Arabidopsis thaliana: one gene and its partners. The protein of the gene in region 4 interacts with the protein of the main gene of each other region in a pairwise test. Each region holds a gene or a part of one and is shown on either strand. Other genes may lie near its edges. The genes, in order: AT2G43370, AT2G32840, AT2G39100 and AT5G38600.

Region 1 (4,787 bases), on a different chromosome or scaffold from region 4:
TGACTTTTATTCCACTTGCATGCAACGAGTACGAGAATGACATTGTCTCTAGTCAATCTGAGGCGACTCTCTATCCTCCTAATAGACAATTCATGAGAGGTACAAATACAATCAAATCAAAGTGAGTTTGAATAAACAAAACAAGAATCTGAAACCAAGTTTCAATTCTGTCTGTTGATACAACAACTATCTAGTATCTACACAGACAAACTAAATCTCTATTTCAACATCAAATGTGAGTTTTTATATTCGAACAAATTCAATACAAAACAAAATATAAGATAATAATAGTTCATTAGTTCTAAAAAAAGAAATATAAGATAAACTACAGAAACAAATCCAACTGTAATGTCATAGTTCATAAAAATAATAATATTTGATGAACTATTTTATCCATTTAGATAAATTACAAATTGCATCATCCCAAATTTTTTTATATCTTAACAATCAAATCTATACGGCCATAATTTAAGATATAAAGACAATTCACTCATGTTAATTGCAAAACAAATATCTTGTTTGTAACTAAAAAAAAAAGACAATTTCTGTTTTGCTATATTTGATTAACATACACTACACTTTTTTTTTCTTTGGTTCAAAAGGCACTCTTAAAAGTCTCTAACACCAAATATTATTAAAAAAAAATCTGTAACACCAAATATTATTGTTATTTTTTTTACAATATGATTACTTAGTCGGAAGAATGATGATCTTGACTATAGGACCTCCTATGATGATGGGAAGGCAAGTGTTTATGACGTTTGCGAGATCGGTCTTCTTCAGAACGTTTTGATCTTTTGCTGCCAGAAACTTCACCCTTGTTGTCACCATATCGATCTTCCATACCTCGTGCTCTCTCTTTTCTATCAGAACGGGACTCTTCCCTGGAACACTCCTCTCTGTCTTTGCTGCGTCTTCTATGAGAACTGTGTGTGTGTGCGCTCGACCTGTGACTGTGATATGACCTAAGGCTGCTTCGCTCTTTAAACTCTTCTTCCCGTTCTACAGAACTCTTTTCCCGATAATATTCTTCCTCTCTATCCGACACACTTCCTTTTCTCCTTGGAGGTGATGGGATCTGCATCCAACAAGTAAGTTGTGGTACCAAGATTTTAGTTTACAAACTATCAGCTTTCCACTAGACACATTGAACAACCCATTTAATATATTATTTCTAGCAGAAGAACATTAACAAATGACCCAATAAGATAGCACCAGAGACAGAACAGGGGTAAAGTTCAAATGACTATAGAGTGGTGGTGAAGTTCAAGACATGGTAGACCTGTGTGCGCGACATATATCTTCCCTCAGGCGGAAGCTGAATACCGAGCTTTTTCAAATCTTCATGAGGGATTGGTCGTCTGATATTAACAAATAGAAAGAATGCCCATTTCATGACCACTATGTTTAGCTGGTGTTATCTCTGGACATGCTAAAGGAAGAGTAAAGCAAAACCATACAAGGGAGCACGGAATGGTCTATCTCGTCCTCCAAAGCGAAGTTGTCCGGATTCTTTCCTACCACCAAGGCCACCTCCTGTTAAGAGAGAAATAGATTTCATCTGTAAGGGATGAAAATATAACGCCTATGACATTTCATTACAGACAAAAATAAAGGTAAAGAATGGCAAACCTAGTCTTCTTGGTATCCATCCAGGCATCAATTGCTGTCTATTATAATCAACAATAATCTCTCGCCCATCTATTAGTGAATGATGAGCATCCTGCTAAAGAAACACCAAAAAAATTCTCACTCTGATAAACAAACTCCACTAGTTTCCAGTAATTACACGGAGATGTTAATGAAACAATCACATTGCGGTGCCTTAGTAAGTGGTTCAGACAGCTTTCAACAACAAAAACAAGAGGTAAAAAGAAAATGCAATTTAGTATCACAGCACCTCATAAGCACGAAGCATCTCCTTTTCAGTCTCATACTCCACAAAACCATATCCTCGTGAAGCTCCCGTCACTAAAAAAAGGTAACAAGAAGAGGAGACTCAATACTACACAATGTGGAACTTAGAGGAAATATGTAATCACAGTTCTGCTTAGACAAATATCTTGGTAGAAAGTAACAAACCATCAGAAATAGAAAGATGATAAATTTCCTAAAGATAAAGCAAAGTGTTGATGTCATAAGTAGAGCAATTGCAAAATCTTACCAATGTGTCTTACCAAGCGCAAGTTCTTAATCCTGCCATACTTACTCATCACCTACGAAGAAGAAACTTTTATAATCATATTCAAAACATAGTCTACACGAAAATCAAAAACTAAGTGAAATTTCAATCATTAACCTCTCGAAGTGTATCCTCCGTAGTGTGATGAGAGAGACGACCCACGAAGAGAGTACAGTAAGGATCTCCAACAGCCTTCGAATCACCAGAAGGATCATCTTTCAAAACAACCCAAATCAATGTATTTGAATTCAGAAACCAAACGATAAAAGTGAAAAGAGGAGCAGAGAGAACGAGAGAGTATACATACATAAGCCAGCGTTATAACAGAGAAGAGCTCGACGGACGCCGTTATCATGTGGAGCAACATCAGTTCCGTCGATACTTCCGGCTTGAATCGGATGATACGACGTCGCGTAGAACACTTTGTTCACGACGTTGTTTCCTCCGCCGCTCATTTCTTCTCCCCCGACTCTCTCTCTCTCACGGCGGCTCCGGCTGTTTAAGGAAATAAAGAATAACGTCGTCGTTTGAATTGATTACTATTAAAAAGCCCAACATATAAATTGGGCTTATTACAGCCCAGTTAAAGATATATGATATTCTCGTAGGTCCCACACGAAGGCGGAAACTCCAACGGTGGCTGCTTTGGGTTAGGTGAATCACTCACTGAAGAGTGAAAAGCTCTAGCACAAACCAAACACCAAATCTCATTTCTTCTTCTTCTTCTTTTTCCACATTTTCTGATTAGCAGATCAAATGATGCTTGTTCGATCTGTATTTCGATCTCAGTTGCGACCCTCTGTCTCGGGTGGTCTGCAATCTGCTTCTTGCTATTCTTCATTATCTGCTGCTTCAGCTGAAGCTGAGAGGACTATCAGAGAAGGTCCCAGAAACGATTGGAGTAGAGATGAAATCAAGTCTGTTTATGATTCTCCTCTTCTTGACCTCCTCTTCCATGGAGTAATTTACCCTTCTTCTTCTCTCTCTCTCTCTCTCTCTCTCTCTCTCACTTACTCTTCTCTTTGTTGTTCTAGCTACTCTAAATCACAAATTTGAAGTAGAAAGCTTTGGGTTTCTGTTAAATTATTGGTGGAAAGTATCGATTTTTAGTTTAACCCAGAACATGTTTGTTCTCTTTGAAACATTTGTCTTAATTTCCCGGATTTTAGTGTCTTTGTAATGTCTATTGAGCTAGGTATTATTCATTTGGTTGCTCATCTGATCTCGTTATCAGTTGTCTTTTACTTGAATAACGATGGTGTGTGGACTCTTTGGGTTTCAGGCTCAGGTTCATAGACATGTTCATAACTTCAGGGAGGTACAACAATGTACCCTCCTCTCCATAAAGACTGGTGGCTGTAGTGAAGACTGTTCATATTGTCCTCAGTCTTCGAGATATAGCACTGGAGTTAAGGCACAAAGACTCATGTCTAAGGACGCTGTCATTGATGCTGCTAAGAAGGTTTGCACTTTTCTTGTGAATGTTTATTTTTGCTGAATGTAGAATCCTTAGCAGAATGTATCAAGAAGAAGGGGACATGCATTACTATGTACCAAAACGTTGTTTTTATCAATCCGAGCTCTATCTCTATCCAAAAGACTCTAATTGTTTAATGAAGCATTTTGACGATGTAATGAGCTCTTCTGATTTGAATTAACAAATTTGATGTGTTGTTAGGCAAAAGAAGCTGGGAGCACACGTTTTTGCATGGGTGCTGCTTGGCGAGATACAATTGGACGGAAAACCAACTTCAGCCAGATTCTTGAATACATCAAAGAAATAAGGTACCTTACTATTATGCTTTTTAAGTTGAACTTTGAATTTCCTTGTTTATACTACATTATATGATCCCTTTTTCAGCTGCTTCTGAATCTAAGCTAACTTAAAAGATAACCCACCGAACCGATCATTAATGGTTCTAGAATGAACATTTTTGCATGTCAAACTAAAGTGAAAATTTCAAAGTGTACTTGATGTATCCGTGAGCAGAATGAATATGATGTTGATGATGGTGTCTGGCTGAATGTGTTTACTAACTTTCTGGGCTCTCACTTTAAAACAGAGGCATGGGGATGGAAGTTTGCTGCACCTTAGGCATGATTGAGAAACAACAAGCACTAGAGCTAAAGAAGGCTGGCCTCACTGCTTATAACCACAATCTTGATACTTCAAGAGAGTACTACCCAAACGTCATCACTACTAGAAGTTATGACGATCGCCTTGAAACTCTTAGCCATGTTCGTGATGCTGGAATCAACGTTTGTTCAGGTAACTTTGATATGAAAATAGTATTCTTGTATGCCTCAATTCTATAGAACTAAAGGATTGAAACCTGTCTTCAGCTTGGTCATTAGACTCACAGTTTTGTAATATTCGTTGATTTTGATAAATCCATAGATACGACATGTTCTCAAGTGTTTTCTTTTACCGATAAACAGGAGGAATCATAGGGCTTGGTGAGGCAGAGGAAGACAGAATAGGTTTATTACACACGCTGGCAACACTTCCTTCTCACCCTGAGAGTGTTCCCATTAATGCTCTACTTGCAGTGAAAGGCACTCCTCTTGAAGACCAGAAGGTATATCTCCACAATCTAAAATCACA
Region 2 (4,357 bases), on a different chromosome or scaffold from region 4:
GTTGAGAGAGTGAGATCGACGTAGAACCATCGGCACAAGCTCCGGCTGAAAAGAAACAAGAGATGAGATGAGGAGAGAATGAATACTATGTTGGAGAGGAATAGAAGAGGAAGAGAAAGCCTCTCAATTTTTTGCTTATTTAGAGAGATGAAAAGAAAGAAGAAGATGTTAGCCACTATGGCATACTAGCTAGAAAAGACTTTGGGCAATATGGCATTTTCAGAACTACAGTGATGATAATATGGCTTCACTGTTGATAAAATCTTGTTTTAATGTCCATAGGAGTATTTGTGTCTTAGGAAGTCTTAGATTATGTAGTGATTTTAAGAGTTTTTGTGACATTTCGTATCATTTGGGAGTTGGAAACAAATAAGATAAAAGAAAATTCAAACACATGACTAAATGTGTTCGTGCTTCCAAGGATGGTCGATCAATCTCTGAAATTATGATCGTCCGACCACATGATGATCGATCCAGCGTTCAAAACATGGTCGACCCACCATGACCGAATACTATATTGAAAATTTTACTTGTCCAAGAACTACTAGGTGTTCTTGAAAAAAAAAAAAGATAAGAGCTATATAAGTTAACCATCTCAGAAAATCTTGAGATTGTTGATTAGTTTAGAATCATCTAATACGAGTGTATGACGAAAATTCAGAGAAAATCTTTCTTATATTACACACAGACATAAGACATAACTCTGGCTCTAAGATAATTTATGTCATTTCTAAATCAACTGCAAGTATATTCACACCGAAGTCCCTAACTTTAAAATCATTACTCGTTCCTGCATTGCTCTCCAAAGGGTGGCAGAAGAAGAGCCAATCTTGCCTTGTACCTCGCGATTCTCTTTAACCGTTCTTCTCTCAATCTGCAAACAAAACAAACCACACAATTTTGTTCAAAACAAAAAATATTCAATCTTCAACCATCGAACTTAGCTTTGATGATATGTTGTGGGACTCACCGAGCGCGGACCTTCTTAGCTCGGTCTATATGTCTTTTCAAAAGATCAGATTCTGACAAATGTTTCACAGATTCCTCGTCCTGAAGCTCATCAAGAGAGTTGAAGTAAATAATCAAACTTAGCTTTACCCTTCACAATTACCATTTTAGAAAGAAATCAGAGAAACACGAAACCTCTTTGTCTTCTTCGCAAATTGCTTCTTCAACTAAATCTTTTGGCAAACTTGTCTCCGTCTTGTCCACAGGTAAAGGCTTTGGCAAACATGTCATCATATCAATTCGCTGCGGCTGTAAACAACGTCATTAATCTTCCAAAGATATCAAGAATAGATATACAAAAATCCAAGTGTTGCATTATACTACAAAGCAGAAATAAGAAATGGATACGAACCTTAATTCCCTCATGAGCACCATTTCTCAACCAAGATCGACACAGCGAGTATAAAGAAGCTCCCTCGGTTATTCTAACCTGCAGAACAAATAAAAAGTATTTAAAATTCCTCAAATGGCGAAGCAAGCGGTTTCGAACGATAATGCAAAACCAAAAAACAAGGATAAAACTATACCTTTCTTTTTCTAACGAGGACCAGAGCATCATCCCGGCTCCTAAACACCATGGAAACGAAACAGAGACATTATTAAGTTTCTAGAGTAGTTTCTAATTAACAAAGCATAATGGCAAAGAAGATAAAGTACCTGGCCTTCTTATGCCCACTGTTGTCTAGAATTGAAGTTGGAGAAGGAGTAGCCTAACAATCAAAAATCCAAAATTTACAAAATGTAACCTCACACAAATATCTAACAGAAGTTTCAACCTTTCCTAATTCATTAGAGATTGCTATTCGAATTCTACAATCACCAAAGCAAATAATCTTCACTTCAACATACACATTTTCACTAACTAGCACAAGCTACAAAAAAAACACTTGACAAAACTATGGAATTAAACAAAAAGATTCAAACTTGTTTTGGTAACGAAAACGATAACTAACCCGAGGTTGCAAAAAATGAGGAACTCCTTTCATATGACCGGAACCAAGTTGAGGAGATTGTTGATTCTGAGGATGTGCAGCTCTCATGAACTGATTCATTGGATCCAAATTCGACACGAATTGGCCATGGTGGTATCCGTAAACTGGCCCTCGAGGAGTATACCCACCTGGACTAGGACTACCAACTGGATCAGCGACGGAATTGGAATTCTGTCTAACGGGTCGGGTCGGAAACCCTCGACCCGAAGAACCAAACGGGTATATCAGACTAGACGGGTCTGGGTGAGGAGGCTGATGAGGCGAATTAGTAACGGAATTCGAACGCCTAATCGGTAAAGGGTTAGTGTAGATATTTTGATGAGGATGATGACGATGAAGCGGAGCTATGGCTCTGTACGACGAAGCTGGTGTTTGAGGTTGAGGTTGAGACGACGGCGTTATGACTGTGTTAGGTTGTGTCACCGGAGATTCAGATGCGGTGACGATTGGAGTCGATACTGCTACAGAGACGGAAGGATTTGGATTTGGATTGGGATTGGGATCGGGAGTAGACATTGTTCCGGCGGATTTTGATTTCTGAGAAATTTGGGGAAAATCAAGTTAAAGACAACGATTCAAAATTTGGTAGCTTTTTCTTTGATTTTCAGGACACGAACTCTTTTTAAGTTCCTTCTAACTAACTAAACTAGGGCTCGGTATTTAATGTTTTGGTTCGGTTTTTTACTTTTTTCTACTCGGGTCCGGTTCAATGTGAGATTTACATTAACGAAAATTAATCCAGGATTTTAAAATGCTGATTTAGTTACGGCTGAAATCTTTTTGGGTAACATTTAAACCATAATGCAGCCATCGTATGGTTGGGTTCGGTATTAAATGTGACCTTAGTTCTAAGTTTCACAGAAAGAAGTGTAAGCTGTCTGAATCTTGAATTATTTATTTTTCCAATAATAATCCATAAGCTGAGATATCTGGCCACAGCTCAGAGAATGTGTAAAGTTTAAGACTCTACATAAAACATAATGGATATGGGTGGGGTATATTTAGCAGCAGCACAAAAACAGGGGATGATCATCATCTACAAAAAGATTCAAGATTCTGTAATGGCAGCAACATGAAGCTGTTGTTGTTGCATGAGGAAGAAATAGCAATGCGCATCTGAGTGAGTTTTAGAAGCCGGCCCATCCAGCAGGTTGAGCTGTTTTCTGGTTTTCTCTCATCTTTGAGTTCCCATATCTCTGTGAAGTGCTGTTTCCAGAGCCCATAGATCTTTGTGTTCCAGATGCAGAAGTAGCAGCTGCAGACGTTGCAGCGGCTCTAAAGGATTCTGTCTCGAAACCCCATGGCTCAAAACCTTGAGTACCTGCAGCAGAAGCTGGTTTACTTCTGGTTCTCACAGACTGATTAATCGTATTATTGTTACCCTTTGATGCAGATTCCATCACGGGTTTCGCTTCATCACTAAAAGGTTGCCATGAATTTGTATCAGAGCTGCCAGTTGACCAGTTAGATCTGTCCTGTTGAAGTTCCCACATTGTTCCTTCCATCTTATCTCTCTGTTTCATCAAGAACATTAGAATTCTAAGATATACATTGATGAAGACTTTTGTATGGGTGTCTAAGCTTAGATGAACAAGAACCAAGAATAATACCGATGGAGTTGATGACATGGAATGCATCCCTGGAGAGGGTTGATTTTGTGAAGAGTCTCTGCTCGGTGACGGTGAGGCACTTTTAGAGGCAAGTGTTTGTTTGAGATCCTGCAACTCTTGCCTTTGCGATCTGCAGATAGCAGAAAGCTTTTCAAACTTAGCAGTTATTTCTGCCTTCTCTGATTTTGTTTGCTTCAACTCGTCTTTTAACCTCTGTATCTCAGCTTCCAATGCCTCTTCTTTGCCAGGTTTATTACCATTATCGAACTTTGTGGTATCAAAGTCAGCAACAAACGAGTTGAAGGCATCATCCTTGGACACTCTTGTCATGTTATTGGCTGCAGCAGGAGTTGTATTCTTCTGAGAAATCGTAGTTTCAAGATCTTTATTTCTTTGAATACCACGAGCCTCTCCTCTCACAGGACTTGGTTTTTTGGGTTGATGACTATCCACACGAACTCTTTCAGATTTAGATGTGTTACTGTTTGGTTCATCAAATTTAGGCATGTTTTTGTTATCTTCTGATACAACTGAGGTTTTAGCATGCTGAGTCGCCCAAAAGGCACCGAGCGGTCCTCCACTATCTGATTCTCCAGAAGATGGTGGCGGCGGTGGCGGACTTCTACGAGGTGCTGGAGAAGGTTTAGTTGCTGATTTTGATGAGCCTGTCAAAATTCATAAGGATCAAAAGAAATCACATCTTTCTTTGAGAAGCTATCCAAAATAGGTTTTATTCACTATACCATC
Region 3 (4,485 bases), on a different chromosome or scaffold from region 4:
ATACCAGATATCAAGTTATCAACACAAAAATCATCACATTTCAACTAGATTCCCTGACATTTGGAAGAATGTAGAACAAAAATCGATATACAACACAAAAGTAGAAATGTGGTAAGAGTGTTGAGAATCAGAAAGGGAAAGAGAAGAAACCTGATGTAGAATTATTCATGAGGATGAATGGAATGCTGTGATGGGGGTCTTCATGATCATGATTGAGAGAGCTTTAAAGCAAAAGAAAATGGTAGAGAAAGAGATAAGAGGAGAAGAGAGAAGACGAGCTCACCATGATCGAATGGGGGAAGTCAAATAGGCAATGGCAGCTGGATTGCCGCTTACCAACCTATAGAAGAAGCCTTTTATAATATTTTATTTTGTGTTACACCCGCTTGCTTACTTATATCAATCAATACCTTAATAGAGAACGCGTTGTTTATTAAAAAAATTTCCCCGTGTATATTCACCATTTAATCTTTAAGGTACGGTTTAGAAGAGAAATTCAAATGAACTTTCCTCTTCTATGGAAGCTTCGTGTAATTTATCTAAAACTATGTATAGTTTTAATTTATTAAAAATTGATAGTCAAATTATAGAAAATATTTAATGTTGTTGAAATAGGTGGTACTCGAAACGTAAGAAAAAATGATGAGGTGAGGAAAAGCGTTGGAAAGAAACTTTGGGGGTGAGAATTTTTGGTATAGAAGAGACGTACATTATGGAAGTAGAGAGACTAAGTGTCAGCTATTTGAGAATCCACCTATAGCTATCTCAAAACTAACTCCACACCTAAACTTGCATCATCTCAACATCTTCCTCCTACCTACTCTTTAACTCTTGGTTTCTCTTACTTGGTCCAGTCTTTCCACTATTGAACTTCCAAGACACCAACAGTCGCGTTGTAAGTCTGTCTATTTACTTCATTTGACGAGAGCATAGTGCTCGGTTATCTGCAAGCGAATACAACATAATGACTTCAGAAAAAAAACCATCGAAGCAAAACAGGTTCCTACTTAGTGAAACCAAACCCACATAATACATATCCTAATTTCTTTACCTGTTTTTTTTACTGCTATTACTCCACCTCATTGTATTCAACCACTGCATCATAAGTCTCCATCGTGAGTATACTCTCCGCAAAACATCTGAAAAATGTTTTCTTTCTCATCAGAAATAGTATATGACCAAAAAACCTAAACCAAACAGATATCAGCTCTATCATCTGTTCAGACTTACAAGTCACTAGGTTTAGGTTGCCTATGTGTTTTCTGTACTACTATACTAAACCTGTAACTACTTGAAACTCTGAAAAAACCCTAGCGTATAAAAATCTTACCTTAGTTCATGCCAAAATATATCCACCTTATCAGACAAGAATTTTCGAAGAGAGGAGACTTCATCTTCCACCAACATCCCGGTCTGCCCGGTTTGTCGATTATTCTCTCTCTCAAGCCTTTTGATGAAAAGAGCTGACGCAAAATGAACAATAACTGAGGGATCAGGATCTCCAAGGACTGCCTGAAGCTCTCTTCTAATCCATGGCTCAATTCTTTCAGTTATCTTTGCTTTGGTGTAATCATTCACCGCCAAACTCTACAATAATCCAAGATGACACAACGAAGCAGGTATATATAAGGCTTCCAATGTGAACATATATCCAATAATGTAAGAGTGTAAACCCCAATACTACAAACATCAAACAGAGAAGAACACATTGTATAATGAAACTTACTAGTTCCAAGCGCCTTGAATGTAATCGAACAGCTCGTAATTGCTTAGTGTATATGCTGTATTTAGAGCCAACACTAGTTAGAAACAACGGCGAACTAATCTAACACTTCGAAAAAGGAGATTGCAAATGAAGCTATAGAGTTAGAATCAATAGTAAACCAACCTAGCTCGCCACTGAAGCTTTCGCTGGAAGATAACAGAATCAGGAACTGAACCTGGTCGTCCAAATGATCTCCGCCATGGCAATGGCCTTGATCTTGAGCTAGAGTTTTCCAAAACATCCCTCGACCTTTGAATTATCCTAATGAAATAATAACCAAGTGAATATAATAAAGAAGTGATTTTTAACTTCATAGAGAGGATCTTAGAGAGAGAGATAACCTCCGGCGATCGGAAGGATTATTCCGATGATAAGTTAAAGTCTCACGATCACGAAGAATTGGTAATTGCTCCTTATGGTATTTTCTAGAAGCAAAATCACTAACGATAAACCAGGAATCAAAACGAGTGTTACAAAGAGGACAATTCCTCTTGAAGCTGCTCCACTTCCGAATACAAGCAAGGCAGTATCCGTGCTTGCACACCGTGATCACGGCGGCGGATCTTCGCTCGGTTAGATTTTCGAGGCATATCGGACACGATTTCCCCTGTAAAGCAGGAAATATTGCTCTCCCTGCAAATTTCGCGATACTTTCCGGCGATCGAAGATGTCTCGAAGACGAAGGCGCCGTGGAGGACGGTAATGGAGGCATGACCGGAGATAGAGATTGTTCGGTGAAGTCGGGCTCTTGGAAAAGTCGGGTTTTAATGAACCGAGATGGATTTCAGATAGATAACCGGTTAATGTCGGTTTGGGTTGACTCGGTTCGAGATTTCTTGTTTCAAAATGAAGAGCGAGCGTGAAGGATCTTTTACTTCATCGCTGCTCCGAAGAAAAAACTTCACCATTGCCACTAACGACGAACTCTCTTGTCTCTGAAATGGAGGTTCCAAAGGAGCAGATCGCGACTTTAATAGAGCATGGGCTTTACGATTCTGCTGAAATGCTCGTAACTTCTCTAGCTTTTAGCTCATTTTGATTGTCTATCTCTTTTTTTCTAAATCCCTAGTTTTCATCAAGAGCTAATGAAATTCTCTCTATATATGCAACTAAATCCAGGGCTGCTTTCTCGTTTCTTCTCCTACTGTTAGTGCCGAAACTAGTCCTCAGCTCAAGGCGGAGAATTTGGTTAAGCTTCTTTCTCCGTCGATATTTTCTATTTTAGTAGCTGCTGAGTCCGTTAGATTGAAGTTAGATTCTTTCTGTGTTTTTTAATCAGATTCTACTGGGTGATGCTTTATTTCATCAGAGAGAACACCGGAGAGCTATTGTAAGTTCTCAAAAGTTTCATTCTTTATGTTTCTCTTTTGCTGTGAAGGAAATGTTACTCAGTTCTCGATAGTTTAGTTCTGCCTCAAATTTGAACTCTATAAATCATTCTCGGAACTTGAATTTGACTGGATTATGATAAAATTGTAAAGATTCTGATTATATGAATTTATGGAGTGAGCAGAGATAAGTTTTATATTTGTATTGCTTATTCTTTTCCTGTGGATTACTTTGAAGTCATCTCGAAATTCTGAATATGTATTCCTTCTTTTTGTCAGCATACGTACAAGCAAGCGTTGCATCATTACACAAGGATTCCGAAGCAAAGCTCCGGTATTTCGAGGAGTTCATTATCTTTATCTACCAGATCATCTGTGAATGCCTCCAGCATTTCTGCTATTAATGAGAACGAGGTAAATAACTGTGTTGCAGTTTCCAGAAAGTGATGTGGTTTGGTTTAATTTCATTGGAGTTCATGTGCATCTTCTTTTTCTAACTTTCCTTTTAGGTGAGATTCAAGATTGCTTCATCTCACTTTGCTCTTAATGAAACAAAAGCTGCGATTGCTGAGGTATGAGTGTCATCTGTTTGTCTGGTTTTCAAGATTTATTTAGTCTTCTGGATTTGTTGGTCTAGAAACTTTGGTATATAGAAAATAAAATATGTGTGTATGAGACGGTAAAAGAGCTGTCTAGGGATTTCTCTATTTCTAAGATTATAGATTGGTTTTGTATAGGATGACTTTTATGTCTTGCTATTGTATTTTATAACCAGAGTTAAGTAACTGTAATTTCAGTGAAACATTCTTGGGCCGTAACTAATGCATTGTTATAGTATTCCTGAATGTGAGTTGAATTTTGTTGCGTTGACCTGCTCCCATCAATGCAAATCCATATTACAAAACAAGTAAACTAATTGGATTCCTTCCAACACTGCATGTAGGTATTAGGGATGATAAAGCCATGGTCTGCTTAGCTATAATCTATTTTTGCACTTGTTATTTCTTTGCCAGATGGAATCTGTCAAGACCAGGAGCTTAGAGATGAATATACTGATGGCAAAGCTTCATCGAAATTCTGGATACAACCGTGGTGCTATTGCTTTTTATAAAGAGTGTTTAAGGTCTGTTTTTCGTTTTCTTTCCCAACATTTCCTAGCATAGAAACACTGTTATAATATCTCACTTTTTACGTTAAATACCAATTCAACACATAGTAAACATATATATAATCTTTAATCTCTGCAGGCAGTGTCCTTATGTACTTGAAGCCGTCATAGGTTTAGCTGAACTGGGAGTTAGTGCAAAGGATATCATATCATCGTTTACTCAGGTGTCCCTTTCTACGAGATTTCTTTCACCACTTCTTCAAATGTGTTTTGCACCTCTTTCT
Region 4 (6,559 bases):
CTTCTCCGACCAATCTTTCTTCTCTTGCCCTTGTTCCAATGCTCCAAGCTCTCGACAACGCCACCGCAACAGCTTCCACCATTCAACAGCTTCTTATAAGCGACGACGACGGTAGTTTCCGCAGTGCTTGCCTCCGTGACTGCCTCGAGCTTTACGAGGACGCGACGGATAGATTGGAGGAGGCAGTGAGAGTTTTTATTACAAGGAAAGAGTTAGGTACGGTTAATGTGATGGTAAGCGCCGCCATGGAATCCGCCGTGACTTGTGAGAATGGATTCAGGGAAAGAGACGACGGTGACGGTGGTGGTGGAGGTGTGACGACGTGGACGTCTCCTATTGGTGATGAGAATCACAAATTGTTTGAGTTTGGTCAGATTGCTCTTTGTATATTCAATATGCTCTCTTCTTCTGTCACATCTCTATCTTTCTAAATCGTTTTCAATCTTTTAGCTGTTTAGGCTTTTGTTTGTATCGAAAACGACAAAAGGATAAAGATAAATGTATTAATGTTCACAAATAATGTGTTTATATCTTTGTGTAAACATTTCCAAAACATCAACTAATAAGAAACATGAGTAACTAACTTTCCATTTTAAGAAGTGAAGACATACCCAAAATAGTAAAACCTTAAAGCTTCGAAAGAAACTTGGAAGAGGAAATTAAATCTAAAACATCTAAAGTCTGATAACTAGAAGAAAGCTTCCACTTTCATGGACATGATACAACAGCATAGAGGGAAAGAGAGAATGTAGAAAAAAATTGAACCCTAACCTCCACATACACACATACACAGCTAAAAGTCTCACAATTTATCTCCTGCTGCTTAATCTATAAGACCAATCACGATCGTCCCTGTCCCTGTCTCTATCGCAGTCTCTGTCCCTGTCCCTATCCCAGTCTCTGTCTCTATCCCTATCCCTGTTCCTGTCTCTATCTCTATCTCTCTCCCGGAAGTCAGCATCGTAAGAAGAATAATCCCTCTTACTTCTTTCGGATAAAGATCTATCTATGCCTGGACTTCTTGACCTAGAACCATATTCGTTTGAACCATACCCGTAATCATATCTACTGCCATACCTTGGAGGATAACTTGATGGTTCAACGCCGAGCGGACCATCGTCTCTGTAATCATGTCCTCTGCTTGTTTTTTGTTGTTGCCATCGGCCGCTTCTGCTGCTGTTCCTATGTGAAGGTGCAGCTTCCCAAAGCCACTCATCTGCGTTTTCTGGGAAGGGAGCGTTAATTCCCGGAAACTCGACGGTCTTTTTCATTTGTGGCTCTGGAGGATGGTTTGCTTTTTCCAAAATTTCCCCATCCTCACTCTCTATCTCCTCCCGAGTCTCCACCTCTTCTCCGAATATAGTTATTCCAGACAAATGATCATCTTCTGGAGCTAGAGACATAAGCACACAATGGAAAGTGTGAGAACATCTAGTTTAGTTTAGCTCTTGTGCGATACCAACAAAATCCACTTCTTTTCCATGTCCATGAATGCTAATAAAACAGAGCAGAAAGCTTACCTAAGTATCCTGGTGGGTACCCAATTTCTCGCATTCTGTTTAGCCACGGAGGAGGGTCTAGTTCCTTCACAAAAGGAAAGCAATGATCTAAGAAATCTGAAATCGAGCATATTGGTAAGAACCTATACACAGAAAGAAAAGGTTCAAAATTACCCCCAGATTCAGAAGCTGACGAGTCTCTGCATCAAGTGTGCCGGGTTTCAAGCCATCATACTTTCCAGTTTGAGTTTTTTGATAATATCTTGATGGTAGACGGGGCCCACTACTATTCTGATTTCGTTTAGATTTCTGAAGCTTCCGAGCACTATTAACCGCTGATCGATCAAAAGGCCTTGGACATTCTCTTAGAGAATGACTATAGCCACCACAATTGAAGCAACGTGGAGGATCATCATCAATAATCTCCAATCCCCTGAAACAATAAATTACATTAACTGTTACATGAATGCACCACCCATTGCAAGACCATTATAACATTCACTGCTAAGTTATTCTACAGCAAATGTAAGCAAAGCAGAATTAAAGGATCTGTGGAAGTTGTTACAAATATAGATTCAATATACCCTTCCACGTTTCTTGAGCCATCTGCTGAATTTAAACCTATAGCAAATTTACGGTCATAAAGAGGAGTGGTGCTACTTTCCACTAGAACAAAATCTTCCAACGGCTTATGACCAGTTTGGTTGTCGATCCAGAATGACTGCATATGCAAAAAAGCACCAATTGGCATGTCATGAAGATTACTGATATGAATAGTTAAGAACTTTTAATAGCGTTGACAACATTTTCACTCACCACAGACGAAGTCTTCTGCAATCCAACACGTATGGCGGGGAAACATGTCTCTTCACCAGATTCGAATAGTTGTTCTTGATCCTGAGCACACAACCAATGAAAAGATTCTACCTTAAAGTTTCATATATGATAAGTCAAAAACTTTATTCGAATATAAACCTAGCCAACAAACAATTTCCCCATGTAAAGTATGAATTCTTATCATATAAACTAAAAGAGTTCAGTATTAGGGACTATGATAAACATACCTTAGTAAATGCTAGTTCTGTTTTACATCAACAAATAGTCGATATCTCAGTATTAATATGGCTAAGGCCTATCTAAAGCAAGGATAGAATATTGGAGAGCTACAGCATGCATGAGCATGATAATAGATACTTTATATGATAAATAATCTAGTATCATATTCTTGCACACTTATTAAACTCGATATCTAATAATGATTCTCTTAACAAAATGTTAATTGATCAAATATTGAAAGATGATAATAGTCACTATTATATTCGCTACAAATAACATTTTTGAGAGTAAGATAACCTTCTCCATTAAGAGATACCTGAGCCAAGGACGTATTTTCAGCCTCCCATTCTGACCATTTCTGTAATAAACTTTCCAGCTTCTGCTTACTAGCTCTGAAAGATGCAGTACACTAACAATTAAAACAATGTGGTAAAGCTAGGAATCACATAATAACAGAAATGCTTGAGCATTTCATGCAATTTAAAATTACATGTAGTTGAGTCATGACTCTTTTTTTCTAACCTCGTTAAGTGCTTATAAGTAACATGGACTGTAGGCTGCTGTTCGTCATACGATGTTCGGGGTCTTTTAACACCCGCTTTAGCTGACATAAGGAATTACGGAAAAAAACAGAAGAAGATGATATGAACCTTATATAAACGTAAAAGATAAGAATGATTTAAGCAAAAGCTTCCCTTCAACCCAACTCTCTCTTAGAGAATTAGGCCACAATACATTGTGTAAAAAGTAACATCAAACCTAATGCTAAAAGTAAGACTTCCAAAACCCATGATTGAAAGAAACTCATAACACCAAAACTAATTAATTAAACCGTCCTAACCGTGACCTAATCAACCTAACCATAGTCTCGTATCAGAAGATAACATAATGATAGACATCAAGTCTGAGCAGCAAATAATTACAGAAACAGATCAAGTGCCATGTCTTATCAGTTATCACAAAAAAAAGGTCAGGGAAAGCAAGCAACCTTCAATATAGTAGAGCAAAAGAAAGGATACAACTAACATCCAAAGTGGTGCTGTGAACTAGTGTCTCCTTTTGGATACCCAATTTCTCATCTACCGCCACACTTTCCACACTCGCATTGAACACATCACTAACCTGCTCTGTTAGTATTTCCCCAGACTCTTGGCCACCGACAATTCTCAAATTCTCTTCTGTTAAATCCAAATCTAAATTTCCTTTCACATTCTCATCATTACCAACTAAAGAATTAGCCTCAGGTGACCCATTCCCAGATTCAAGGCTATTTTTCTTTACTTCAGAGCCAAAATTGCTTGAAGCTGGTATGTCAAGCACATCCTCAGTTTCCATTTTCAAACAAAATTGAAATCTTTATATCCTCAAAACAATTTCACAAACCACCCATAAAAAACACCCTGTAATAAGAAACGACAGTATCAGAAACGCAATAACAAGATACACATTAAATAGAGTACAACATACACATTAAATAGAACACAAATATATACAAACACTATATTCAAGACCAAAAAGAATCATATCCAAATCAAGCCACACAAGATTTTAGATCCGTTAAGCAAAGAATCAACAAAATTCAACATTTGATTAACGTAATTGCTAAGAATGAAGAAACAAGCAATCAATATCTCAAATCTAAGAAAAATCTCAGCTCCTAGAGCGATTAATTTCAATCCCAGCCCGATTCGCATACCCAGAAAATTAGGGTTTCAACTTTGAACACAGTTAAATAAACAATTAAACTTCCAAGATTACCTTGCGTATCCATTGTTAATCAATTTGTGAAAAAACTAGGGTTCAAGATTTGACAAATCAAAAACAGTGAACAAGAGCTTAATCTACTCAATTCGAAACCTAAAGCATATACTCGCGAAGCAAAAACTGGAGAAATTTTTAAAAATTTGAAGAAGGAGATGAAACGACACCAAGGCTTCGTCGGGAACAACAAATCTTTCAAAAGTAGTGAAATGTTCTTAAGGTACGAAGAAAGAAGAAGCAAGAAACAAGCAATTTGAAGATTGAGAGATTTACATAGAGATAGGGCTTAACCTTAGTCAATGGAGGAGGGAAGAAGCAAGAATGGCGATAGTAGATAGATCTGTGAGATTCAAAAGGAAGAGACTGTTTTATTCATCCGCCTAAGACTTAAGTGTTAGAAGAGACGACTATCCAATGCTACGCAGCGCAGTGAATATTAGTCAACATACCAAACGGTGCGTGTTAACAAGGATTTTCTTTTTAGAAGTTTATCTGATTTGTTTTTCTTTTTAATTAAGATTTTCTTAAGACTATCATTTGGTAAGTTGACTAGGTTATTTTTTTTTGGTAAGTATTTTTCTTTTTTTGAAGATTGAAAAATTTTAATTGGTAGGAAATTTTAGTAGATTTTTTTATTATTAAAAAGGATACTTATTAATAGTGTATCACATGATAAAAGTATACAATATATTCGCAGCGTATTAAATAGACTGTTGGTAAGTAATATATATATTTGTATTTTAAACATCATATGTCAAAGATTTTGATATATAATTTTAAATATACGAAGAAGATGATGTTGGATTCGCTAATAGCGAATATAAAGGTGATGTTGAGTTTGATTTTGATGATAAATTTGATGATGAAGAAGAAAGTGTTTACCCAGAAAAGAAAAGAAGAAGAAGACGTTAAACACTTAAACGATTGTTTTTTTATTGTTGTATTGATTTTTTTTTCTTCTTCTCGACAAAATCTATTAAATTTCTAAACTTAGGAATTAAAGTAATATATGGATTTAGATTATTAGGGAAAAAACAATTTATTTATCTACGAGAACTATAATATCATATTAAAACGATTTATATATCCCAAAAAAATAGTTCTCTATCTATTTCTCCCCCTAACAAAAATTTCAATATACAGTATAAATTTTTCGAATTAATAGTTATAGATTTAGAAACCCACGATCTTGGGTTTATCGGTTTATTATTCATTTAACCGATTTTCTTGAGGAAACTAAACCCAATTATAATGGGAAAAATGTTGTTTTATACGCGAACTTTCAAAAAGTGGTCATTTTATACGTGAACTCTGACGTCGGCCAAAATAAACATGAAAAATACGTTGACCAGCCATTTTAACAGAAATAAAACGTTGACCTGGCCAAAATCCCGAGACGTTAACTCGCTGATTAACCCCGTTAAGAGAACGTTAATGAATTCTGTTAAGACCAAAACGCCGTCGTTTCAAACCTAACGAAACAAATCAAAACGCCCAAATCGAAAACTCAATCCCTAATTCTCTCAAAATCCCTAATTCTCTCAAACCAAATCCCTAATTCTCTCATTGGTAAAATCGTGTTTGTTCTTCGATTAATCTTGTTGTGATTGCCTTAGCAATGGAAGGCGAAGTCGACATTGCTCCTATTCCACCACGACGAGAAGCTGAAACCGGAGATGGAGTTCGAGCTCCACCGGAGATGGAGTTTGATGGTGGAGTTCTAGCGTTGCCGGCTGTTGTTGTAGCAGAGTCTTCTGTCGGAGTTGAAGCTCCGGTATCACAGAGGCTTCGAAAACGAAAAAGAGTGAGAGTTGAAGAGGAGGAGGATGACGAACCTGAATCGATTTCATTATGTGATTTGACTTGTCTTTGTGACACAAGTTCTACTAAGCAGGTTCTTAAACAGATTGATCACTTAAAATTAAACATCTCGTGATTTTGTGTTGGCACTTGGCAGGTTCAAAGTGATTGATCACTAAAAAATTTAGGACTGATTAGCCGAACAAGGATTTCATTACAAACACAAGCTTTCGGTTTGTAAACACTAGGACTGATTAGTAACCAAGAACAAGCTTCCGGTTTTTGTTCTTATAGAACATTATGATCAGAATTGCAATGACTGAGAGAGAAAGGCACACCAAGCACAAACCGGTCATCGATTTCCATCTCTTCAATTCCATTTTGTTCCACCTTTCATCTTCCTTCATTTCTTGGATCAAACCCTTTAATTCTGCAATCTCAAC

The links.
Region 1: the proteins of AT5G38600 (region 4) and AT2G43370 interact in a two-hybrid assay, tested with the Arabidopsis thaliana proteins (one large-scale study listed by BioGRID).
Region 2: the proteins of AT5G38600 (region 4) and AT2G32840 interact in a two-hybrid assay, tested with the Arabidopsis thaliana proteins (one large-scale study listed by BioGRID).
Region 3: the proteins of AT5G38600 (region 4) and AT2G39100 interact in a two-hybrid assay, tested with the Arabidopsis thaliana proteins (one large-scale study listed by BioGRID).

The regions. Positions count from the first base shown.
Region 1 is NC_003071.7:18,011,281-18,016,067, reverse strand, and holds AT2G43370 (RNA-binding (RRM/RBD/RNP motifs) family protein), read right to left. Parts: upstream 2,801-4,787; 5' UTR 2,638-2,800; coding exon 2,490-2,637; intron 2,398-2,489; coding exon 2,300-2,397; intron 2,217-2,299; coding exon 2,165-2,216; intron 1,972-2,164; coding exon 1,901-1,971; intron 1,724-1,900; coding exon 1,633-1,723; intron 1,537-1,632; coding exon 1,461-1,536; intron 1,362-1,460; coding exon 1,283-1,361; intron 1,079-1,282; coding exon 692-1,078; 3' UTR 538-691; downstream 1-537. Other genes in the region: BIO2 (Radical SAM superfamily protein), read left to right, coding at 2,939-3,142, 3,465-3,644, 3,861-3,967, 4,246-4,451, 4,622-4,761.
Region 2 is NC_003071.7:13,932,321-13,936,677, forward strand, and holds AT2G32840 (proline-rich family protein), read right to left. Parts: upstream 2,630-4,357; 5' UTR 2,517-2,629; coding exon 1,962-2,516; intron 1,719-1,961; coding exon 1,666-1,718; intron 1,576-1,665; coding exon 1,536-1,575; intron 1,439-1,535; coding exon 1,361-1,438; intron 1,258-1,360; coding exon 1,144-1,257; coding exon of another isoform or gene 1,108-1,143; exon of another isoform or gene 1,051-1,107; coding exon 971-1,050; intron 875-970; coding exon 781-874; 3' UTR 519-780; downstream 1-518. Other genes in the region: AT2G32850 (Protein kinase superfamily protein), read right to left, coding at 3,128-3,514, 3,611-4,275, 4,354-4,357.
Region 3 is NC_003071.7:16,315,454-16,319,938, reverse strand, and holds AT2G39100 (RING/U-box superfamily protein), read right to left. Parts: upstream 2,584-4,485; 5' UTR 2,478-2,583; coding exon 2,107-2,477; intron 2,027-2,106; coding exon 1,889-2,026; intron 1,782-1,888; coding exon 1,727-1,781; intron 1,588-1,726; coding exon 1,331-1,587; intron 1,140-1,330; coding exon 1,070-1,139; 3' UTR 1,052-1,069; intron 945-1,051; 3' UTR 552-944; downstream 1-551. Other genes in the region: AT2G39110 (Protein kinase superfamily protein), read right to left, coding at 151-169; APC7 (tetratricopeptide repeat (TPR)-containing protein), read left to right, coding at 2,706-2,774, 2,885-2,953, 3,045-3,095, 3,373-3,507, 3,603-3,665, 4,107-4,216, 4,341-4,425.
Region 4 is NC_003076.8:15,454,717-15,461,275, reverse strand, and holds AT5G38600 (Proline-rich spliceosome-associated (PSP) family protein / zinc knuckle (CCHC-type) family protein), read right to left. Parts: upstream 4,722-6,559; 5' UTR 4,608-4,721; intron 3,956-4,607; 5' UTR 3,891-3,955; coding exon 3,575-3,890; coding exon of another isoform or gene 3,544-3,574; exon of another isoform or gene 3,167-3,543; coding exon of another isoform or gene 3,160-3,166; coding exon 3,078-3,159; intron 2,948-3,077; coding exon 2,872-2,947; intron 2,397-2,871; coding exon 2,316-2,396; intron 2,221-2,315; coding exon 2,084-2,220; intron 1,933-2,083; coding exon 1,674-1,932; intron 1,585-1,673; coding exon 1,521-1,584; intron 1,394-1,520; coding exon 810-1,393; 3' UTR 509-809; downstream 1-508. Other genes in the region: AT5G38610 (Plant invertase/pectin methylesterase inhibitor superfamily protein), read left to right, coding at 1-431.